Linked DNA regions of Canis lupus familiaris. The protein of the gene in region 2 interacts with the protein of the main gene of each other region in a pairwise test. Links are inferred from orthologs where the notes say so. Each region holds a gene or a part of one and is shown on either strand. Other genes may lie near its edges.

Region 1 (4,828 bases), on a different chromosome or scaffold from region 2:
TCTCAAAAGAAAGCATGGGTTTTAAAGGATTGCTCTCTCGTTCCTTTATTTGATTCCAGAGCTACAAGCAGCTGTATGGATCTGGGGCTAGGCTCCTCTCCTTCTCCATTCTTCAGGTGGGATGAACCAAGCCTGGAAGAGATGGGGGATGGAGGTGGGGGTGGTAACTACTCAAGATGGCTTGGTGAGTTAGTGGCAAAGCTGAAACCAGACCCAAGGTTTCTTGATTTGCACACTGGTGCTCTCTTCTCCAAGCCAAGCTGCCTACTGCTGAACTCCTAGCACAGGTGACAGCATCTCTCGGAGGATCCAGTACAGTGCTTGGCACCAAAAGGTGTGTGAAGAATGAACAAAAAACCTGCAGGGAGTAGTTAAGCAACAGAATCTTCTGTCATTCCATGCCAGATAACAAGTCATGTGGAAAACAAAAGCAAAAGAAAAAATTAATTTCCTTACTACTTAAACCCATTGACAAGTCCTTGAAACAGGTAGAGTGATCTCTAGAGACTCAGCTGCCTCCAGGTGAGTACTTTGCTAAGGGCAAGAGGCAATCTTAGTTTAACATTACCCTGACCCTGTAGGATCCTGGAAGTCTTCTTTAGACACGTAGAAATTCCTTTGGAAACTTCCTTTATCTCTACCATATTGGCATGCTGCATGTTGGCAATCACCCAAGCATATGGCCCACCAATACACATCTGAAGGGTCTCATGACTCAGGCTTTTTAAGACAGGAATAAATGACCTTTTCCTAACAATAACTAGCCCCCTCAAGGTCCTGGAAACCTGACTTCTAAAATACCTTGGAAACTTGTGCTGTCCCTAACCCCCATCCAACTTGAAAGTATATAGTCATTTGTCACAATCCCAGTACAGCCTTTTCTGCCCAGAAGTCCTGTTCTCGTGCTCTAGTAAGACCACCTTCTTAGGGAAGCCTGGGTGGCTCAGTTAGTTAAGCATCCGACTCTTGATTTTGGCTCAGATCATGATCTCAGGATGCTCAGCAGGAAGTCTGCTTGAGATTCTCCCTCTCCCTCCTGCTCTCCTCCCCCCACTCTTTCTTTCTAAAAATAAATAAATCTTTAAAAACAAACAGACAGGGACACCTGGGTGGCTCAGTGGTTGAGCATCTGCCTTTGGCTCAGGTTGTGATCCCGGGGTCCTGGGATCTAGTCCCACATCAGATTCCCCGCAAGGGGCCTGCTTCTCCCTCTGCCTATGTCTCTGCCTCTCTCTCTCTCTGTGTGTCTCATGAATGAATAAATAAAATCTTTTTTAAGAAACAATAAAAATAAAAACAAACAAAATCATCTTTTTACACCAAACACATCTCAAGAATTCTTTCTTGATCATTTGCTCTGCCGCCAACATTTCCTCAACAAGCACTCAGTGATCTCATCCGTGTGAAGTCCAACACTCCTCTGGGCCCCAGACCTTGCTCCTCTCTAGGTTCCCCTGAGGGGAATCAACTGTCTCACTCTCCCCTCCCCCACCGCCCTTCCTCCCTCTTCCAGCCCATCAGCCCCCCAAGTCCAGGAACAAGTGGCTGCTGGGCCCTCAGGGTTGGGTTTGGGTATAAAGAGGGGATAGTTTACCTGTCCGTACAAAGTAACAGTGCAGAGAGTGCACATGGACGTCTTCACTCACAGACTTGGCTGCAGCCACCAGGGCCTGGCCCACAATCTGACCCCCAAACAGCCGCTGGGTTGTGGGTACCCAGTAATGTCTTCCTCTGTGGAGAGAGGGGAAAGCAGGAAATACTTGGGCCAAATCCTGCAACCATCCTATAGGGCAAGACCTCTCAACCTTATTGACGTCTGGGATCCTTCTGAAATCTGGTGAAAGCCATGGACCCTTCTCCCAGGCAAATACCCTTACTCTGCATACAGCATACATGTAACTTTAGTGCCTTCAAGACTGCCCAACCCTTCTGTGGGCTTCAGTTAAAGATAAGGAACCAGCTCTCTTCTTTTACCCAAAGAGAACAGGGATCAGAGAGGGAAAGTGACTTGAGTGAGGTCAGTCAACTTAAACATTGCCAGTCCTGAGCAGTGTCTGCGTCTTCTGCCCCCAAGTCCAGTGTTTCTTTCACTGCCGATTCCAGGATAAAGCAGAAGCCTCTCAAGGCCATAAGGGGACCAAGATGATCCCCAAGAGCTGCGGGCAGACTGCGTTCAGGCCTGCCACTTGGGCCTCTCAACTTTAGCCCAGTTCTTCCAAGAACTACAAAGGGTCCTAGAACTCAAAGGGTCCTCAGGCTTTAAGGGTAACCCTCTCGCGCACAGATGAGGAAATGAGGCCCTGGAACTCCAGCTTCCTACCACTGAGGCCAGCTCAGCTCCAACCTAGGTTAGCATTTAAAAAAAAAATATAATGCCTTCCAAGTAGCCCCTCCTAGTCATTTGCAATTCATTAAGTAGGGGGAAGTGAAACTCTAACATTTAAGATTGCCTCTGAAAAGCCAGTAGGAACCCTGACGGCCAAAACTATTAAATCCCTAGCTGCAGAAAAGCATTTAAGTGGTATCTGGAAGGAAACTGGCTCAGATCTCAGGGCAATGAGGTACTAGATCCAAGTGGTGGAAGGTGCGAGGTACGTAAAAGGAAAGAACAGTGAATATGCAAGAAGCTGCTTCTAAATTTTCAACCGGATCAGCTGCGTGCATTTAAGTGACCACCCTTTCTGGGCTGGCCCCTAGGGACAGGACTCCTCCAGAGAGCCTGCTGTGAAGGCTAGCTCAAGCCACCACTTCGTCTGCCCGGATGGCTAGGGCCTCCTAGTGGCGGGGCTGAGCAGACCTGGCGCGCACCGGAGGAAGCTAGGGCAGCGAGACCAGCCAGGTCTGTCAGGGACCAGTTCTCTCCCAGGCGCGGCAGAGCCTGCATCCTGCACAGAGCCCATCCCCGTCCGGGGGGCTATGAGCAGGAGGCAACGCGGTGGCGGCATCGAGGTCGGAAGTCTCTGTCCCAATGTGGGGGGTGGCGGGGGGAGGGGTGCGAGCCAGATGCAGCCGGCTACCTGAACAGATCCACGTCTAGCGGCTCGAGGTTGAGCACGCTGGTAACCAGGACGCTGCGGAGGTCCCCGGAGGGATCGCCGCCGCCCTGCTCATCCTCGGGAGCCTGCCGGGACGCCATGGGGTTCACGCGCGGCCAGCCAGAACACCGCGCTGAGCGGACACGAGGACACCCGCACTGAACGCCGACCTTCTTCCGGCAGCTTGCTCCAGTAACAGGAAATCGCCTCAAGGCCCCCCCGCCCAAGAAAGAGGGGTCCAAGTTATGATTGGTCGGCCCTCCTGTCAGTCTTCGCGAGAGGCGGGCTAGCTTTCTCTAGCGATTGGAGAAAATGAGTGCCAGTCTGGGAATACCGTGTGTGATTGGATGTAACTGTGAGGGGGCGGAACCCAGGGCTGAATAATAAGAGCTGAGCGTCATTTCCCCTCTGTGAGAAAGCAAAGACGCCCCCAGACCCCTAAGCCCTCTCGGCCCTTAGGGCTCCTCCTGAGCCCCGTAACAGGCCACTCAGCTGAGGCCGACCCTTAAGGCATCCTGGACATGCGCCAGCCTGTAGGCCCTCACAGTGTGACCTCTGAACCCTAGTGTTGATCCGGGGGCCAGCCCCTGGTGTGGGCTGAGGGGGCGGCCATGGAGCTGGGCAGCTGCTTCAAGACCTACGAGGATTTCAAGGAGTGCTTCAGCGCCTACAAAAAGGAGAACAGGTGCTCCTTCATTCTCAGGGACTGCGTCTCCGTCCGCTTCCACAACCTCAACCATGGCACCTGCATCCGCGAGGACATCCTGTAAGGGCGGGGCAGGTCTGGGGCGGGGCAGGAGGGTGGGGAGGAGGCCGGACTGTCCCCTGGAGGGAGGCCTTGGAGGAGGAGGAGGAGGGAGCGCAGCTGGGCCCCGGTCTCAGGGCAATCAACAGGCACCGAGCACTTGTCCTGTGCCTGGTGGAAAGAGCAAAACATTCCCAAGGCATCGCTTTTTGACCACCCACTCCCCCTTCATTCATTCACTCCATTATAGCTTTCCTGAAATAACTGCAATTTGCCCCATTCTTTGAGCACCTGCAGTATCCCTCGTACAAAGTACCGTCTTCACAAATGGATACAAAACGCCTCTGGGATGATTTCCTCCATCAGTGTTCTCTTGACAAAGCAATGAACGCGGTCAGTTGTTGGTTAGTTTGCTCATTCATTCGTTTGTTTTCTACGTGGTTCTCGAGCTTCTGAGATTAACAACCGTTTTTTCAAACACTTCCCATGCCCCAGGCATCCTTCGCTGTTGTGTGCATGCTTTACCAGGCAGGGCTGTATTGAGAATTATAGTTAAATGCTGTTTTTCCCTTTTGGCAGCTGAGAAAACAGGCGGAGAGGGTTGACAACTCCATTGTCTTCAGGGCTTGGGTGAAACAGCCCAGCGTCAGAAAGTTTTAATTTCACCCTAAGAGAAAGAATGATGAAATAACAACGGACTCCAGGTCTTTGTAGCAGAGACCACAGAGGTGTGTGGTGACATGGAGAGCAGGCCCTATCTAATCAACTCCAGCTAATGGCCACCAGGTGGAAATGAAGATCCGGTGTTGCCAGAAATGGGAGCAGGACAAGTCAGAAATCCAAATTTGGGGCAATATCTCCACTTTTTAAAAATTGCAAATCAGTTTAGATTTGAACACACTCTGAGGAGGCCAACTCAAGGAACAGTACAAGCTCCCTGTCTAAATTATTGTTAGGCAGTTAAGGGAGAGGAGAAAAGCTCTTCTTGAGTCTGTTGGACCTTGACAGTTTTCAGCTCAGAATAATCCACATGCCAAAGTGGCAAATT
Region 2 (4,667 bases):
TGAAACCAAGAATACCTATTGTTCTACCTTAAACTCCAATGTAAGGGTGGGAAAGGGAGTCATGATTAAAGAGACCAACAGCTTTTATTAAAGATGGATTGTTGTTAGATTTGGGGTTTTTTCCTAAAGACAGAAAGCTCTATTTTTAGAAAATAAAAACGATGGAGGGAGAAAACAATTAGGTGTCATTAATGATCTCAGGAATGAAAAAAAAAAAAAAAAAGATCTCAGGGATGTTTAAGAACTAGGAAGATGGGAATGCCCTGAGAGTCTAGAATCTTTGTAACTTTCTCCATTTGTATCTCTTATCATTCTGAATTTCTTAAATTGGAAAAAAAAACTAACAAATGCTTCTCCTTGAAAACAATGAGGAAGAGGAAAGCTAAAAAGAATGCCCTTCCCCATGCCTTTAATCAGACAGGCTTGAGGCAGAAGAATCAACCCCAAGGGATATAACGAGCATGGACACTCTCAAAGATGGAGAACTAGGCTGGGACCCTGAAAAACTTAGGGTGCAGGCCTGGCAGAAGAGCACCATGGTTCAGCCCACAGGGTCTGGAATCATTCAAAGCCAGAGTCAAGTCCCAACTCCACCTCTTACAAAACTGTATCACCTTGGGCAAATCACTTCATCTCAAAGCCTCTTTTCTTATTTATATGCTAGGAATAAAAACAGTAACTACCTCAAGAGTTCTGATGAAGATCGAACAGATAATACATTGAAACCAATTAATACAAAGCCTAGAATATGATAAGTACATATTAGCTATTGTTATATTTATTACTGTCATCAGGATATGGTCTTTGCCCTCTAAAACCTTATATGTCAGGCCCTTGAACACAATTCCACTTTCCAAGGCCTCAACTCTGTTTAAGATGACTTAATGCCAGAATCCCACGGGCTGTGCTTAGTATTTCTTCCTGGGCAATACTGCCATCCATCCAATCTGTGGGTCTTCACCACCAAACTACAGTAATAAAGTTCCAGATAACAAAGGGTTCTCTCTCCTATTCTCTCTTTACATAGAGAGACACAAAGAGATACATATACTCTCCAAAATCTCTTACTGAGTTCCAATTCAGTCCCATTTCATGTAAGTTTCAATAACTCCCTATTATCACCTAAGGGAGATCAGGCTCAGTGCCCTAGAGAAATGAATCAAGAGTCCAGGAAAGTCATAGAAGCTGAAGTCAGTCTATATCCTAAGATGAACTGGGGGAACAGAACAGAACTCTGCCCCACTATGAACCACTTTTAGGTTTACCCATGACCATCCTTACCTGTTACTTCAGATATGAATTCTTGGGACCAGTCAGTCTCATTATAATCCTGAGTTACATCCACAGCATCTCCAGCAGCAAGAAACTCCTGGGCCCAGTTCTCAGACAAGGCCAAGTCAGCCACACCAGGAGCTTAAGAGAAAGAAAGAGAACTAAGAAAAAAGAAAAAAAAGAAATGCATATCATTCTATGCATCATGCCTCAGGAATCCTGAGTGCACATGAAAACACTGTGCCCCTTTTGTCTCCTTCTGCAGCTCAGTTCCTCAATGCCAGAAGCATCCAGATATGGAACCCCCTCAGTCTTACTTGCATGGAAAATGGTGATCCCCCCCCACCAGACTCTGGACCCACCTCTCTGGGGTGCCTGGCGGAAGTTTGACTGTTCAATCTCCTGCATCTCTGCCAGGAGGTCATCCATCTTGAAGGTCTGAGGGGCACGGGATACAAGTGGTGCATTCTGGTCCTGGAGAAATTCGGCCACCAACTGCCAGAAGAAAGATGATAAAAGAACTCAGCAAGAGACAGGGCCCGGTGAATGAGGGACTATAACGTCAAACACAAGGAAAGAGAAACCCAGAAACTACAAATTGGAAATACTCAAATAATACATAAAAAAAAAAAAAAAAAAAAAAAAAAACAAGCAGAAGAAATAAGGCAAATCTCACTTGGTCAAGAAGGCCCAAAGGGTGAAATATAGGTGAGCCAGGTTTAAAGTAAAAACACGATGGGCAAAAGAAAAAGGGCACTGAACAGACTGGCACGTTTACCTCATCTTCAGACGCTACTCCCAAAGGCTTAGAGACCTAAGACAGAAAAGAAAGGGAGGCAATAGGGTACAGTGATGAAGTCCACACACACAACCCCGCTCGGCAGAGGTTAAAATGCCTCTAGCGTCTAGAGTGACCTTGGGCAAGTCACAGAACTTCCCTGAGCCCCCGCTTCTTCACCTGTAAAATGACTGCCTTGATCTGTATAAAGATGCACAATGCTTAGCACCGTGTTGAGTGAACACTCACTAGTCGTGATAGCTACTCCTATTTGCGACCCAGCAGAGAAGGCAGTTATCCCAAACTGTCTGTCCATGGGGCCCCTCCATCCGGAGCCACGACCTGAGTTTTCCACCTCGGGAACACTCACCGCCTCAGAGGCCGGGGCTCCTGGGGGCCAAGGGCCAGGCCTCAACCCCTCCTGCCGGAGGGCCTTGTCCTGGGTGAAATGCCCGGCCAGCTTCATCAGCGGGTTGGCACCCCCGCATTCGGCCTCCACCAGCTCCCGCATTGCCATGGTGACCGCCAGCTCACTGATGGGCAGAGAAGGTTTGGAACTGAGGTCCCGCTGCCAGGTCCTCCTCCAACCCACAACTCAGCCCGTATCAGGCCGGGGGAGGCGGGCAGACGTCGGTCCCAGGTTGTGAGCCACTCGCCACCCTCCACCGCTGTGCCTTTTGCTACGGCCCCCACCTCAGCCAGGGATCCGAGACGGGGCCGGTGCCCTGCTGCCGCCCCCTCAAAGGCCTCGGCTTTCAGCCCGGGCCTCTCGGGCGGCCTCCACGACTGCGGTCTCCGGCGGCCGGGCCGGTCGGCAGCCGCCCCCCACACGGGGGCCTGGACCCCAGGGGGCTGAGGAGCAGGATCCCACAGTCGGGCCGTACCGGGGCACTGCGCGCGCGAAGAAGAGTGGTAAGGCCGCCAGCGCGCAAGCCCACGGCCCCCAGGCCCGCCGCCGGCGAGCTCCGCGGGGAGCCATTCCTTCCCCACCACAAGTCACCTGAGCCCCTCCCCCATTCGGCGGGTCGCGGCCCACCCCTCCTGCGCTCCGGACCACCCATTTCCCCCGCCCCAGACGCAGCTCCAGCTCCGCCCCCGGGCCCCGCGAGGACCAGGCCGGGCCGGAGGAAGACCCGGAACGCGTCCTCGCGCCCCCTCGGGACCCGGCGCTCACCGTCGCGCGCCGCGCCGCGCCGCACGACCCGCCGGGGCACCTGGTGCGGGCTGAGGGGGGAGGGGAGGGGAGGGAGGGGCGGGGAGCCAGGGGCGGGGCTCGGGCTTAAAGGGGCCGTGGCGGCCGCGCAGCCTACGCTGCCCTGCGGGAAGCTGTTTGTAGGGGCGGGGCCTCAAGGCTGCGGCGCCGCGTGACGGTTGGAGCCGTGAACCTTAAAGGGGAAGAGCGCCTTAAAGGCGAAGTCTTGGAGCGGCGACCCCGAGAGCGCTACAAAGGCTCGCCCGCACTGGGACTGGTTTGCTGGGAAGCTCAAAGAAGGATGGAGCTAGGAGGGGCTGCCTGAGCTTTGGGGGGAGATCCGCGGGACCGTGATCCTGGATTCAGCTGACTCTTACTCGGCGGCACATTGTGACCCAAGGGGATTCCCTGCCCTTTCTGGGCCTCAGTTTCCCCTCCTATAAAGGGGCTGGCGGCTAGTCTTCCTAAGCCCTGAAGCAGGTAAGAGGAAGGCCCTAACACAGGTGTTGCAGGGGTCAAATCCAAGGCCTTCCTCAGCCTCCTAGTGATGTCCACTTCCAAACTGCCCCAAGCGGGACATCGTCACAGTCTCCTTGGAGACAGAGGCCTGCCCCCAATCCCTCTGCCGCTTCTGCGTGGTGGGGAATATAGCGCTGGATGATGACAAATTCCGGAGACTAAAATAGGATACGACGACGCATCCTGAGTCCTCTCAAGCTGGTAACATACAGGGAAGGTGCACAGTGAATCACTAGTCTCCTCTCCTTCCTCTCTCCCCACTGGTCAGGGTCATTATGGTGGTCATATTCCCACTGCTCCAGACTGGGAAAGCACAGACATGGTGCAAGAAATGATTTTTAATCACAGAATAAGCCTCAGGCCCCACCATCTGCCACAGCCATTGGCTCTGATGTCAGACTTCAAGGGCGTAAACCCTGATACCTTACCTGACTCCCAGACCAAGGGAGACCTGGTGCCACCAAGAAGGGCAGAAGGTGCTCAGGGCTGCTGGTAATTGAGCAAGGATGGGTTAGTACCAAGACAGAAGCGCTCTCCCAGCCCAGGGTGCAGGAGGGAAGACAGACAGCAGGTGGCGCCCTGGGCCAGGCTTGTTTCCTATTGTCCGGCACATTTCTAAGGTGGAGGCCCCAGGGGATCAGAGGAGCTTGGTTCTGTAAACTCCTCCCAGGGAAAGTAAAGAAGCTGCTCTGACACCGCAGGAGAACAGAATGACAGGCCAGACCTGAAAATTGTGCAGAATTTCTCCTCTTCTTACCTTTTCACCATCTTTCAGAACCCCGCCCCCCCACTGCCCGTGTACCCTGGAGAACATAAATCCCAGCCCTTGCATGTTGACTGTTCTCAGACTGCCACTGTAAAGAAAATACCTGGTACCTAGTACCTAATAAACTAAACCATGCCAGA

Evidence for each region. The genes of interacting proteins can lie anywhere in the genome.
Region 1: the proteins of PEX5 (region 2) and ACOT8 interact in binary tests that used the Homo sapiens proteins (3 or more experiments, as listed by UniProt). The link is inferred for Canis lupus familiaris from reciprocal best matches to the Homo sapiens genes PEX5 and ACOT8.

Annotation. Positions count from the first base shown.
Region 1 is NC_049245.1:33,782,892-33,787,719, forward strand, and holds the start of ACOT8 (acyl-coenzyme A thioesterase 8), read right to left. Parts: upstream 3,244-4,828; 5' UTR 3,137-3,243; coding exon 3,018-3,136; intron 1,732-3,017; coding exon 1,595-1,731; intron 1-1,594. Other genes in the region: ZSWIM3 (zinc finger SWIM domain-containing protein 3), read left to right, coding at 3,647-3,801. UniProt on the Homo sapiens protein: Catalyzes the hydrolysis of acyl-CoAs into free fatty acids and coenzyme A (CoASH), regulating their respective intracellular levels. Displays no strong substrate specificity with respect to the carboxylic acid moiety of Acyl-CoAs.
Region 2 is NC_049248.1:8,232,506-8,237,172, reverse strand, and holds the start of PEX5 (peroxisomal biogenesis factor 5), read right to left. Parts: upstream 3,293-4,667; 5' UTR 3,225-3,292; intron 2,958-3,224; exon of another isoform or gene 2,935-2,957; intron 2,888-2,934; exon of another isoform or gene 2,744-2,887; intron 2,584-2,743; 5' UTR 2,568-2,583; coding exon 2,421-2,567; intron 2,087-2,420; coding exon 2,051-2,086; intron 1,768-2,050; coding exon 1,635-1,767; intron 1,414-1,634; coding exon 1,282-1,413; intron 1-1,281.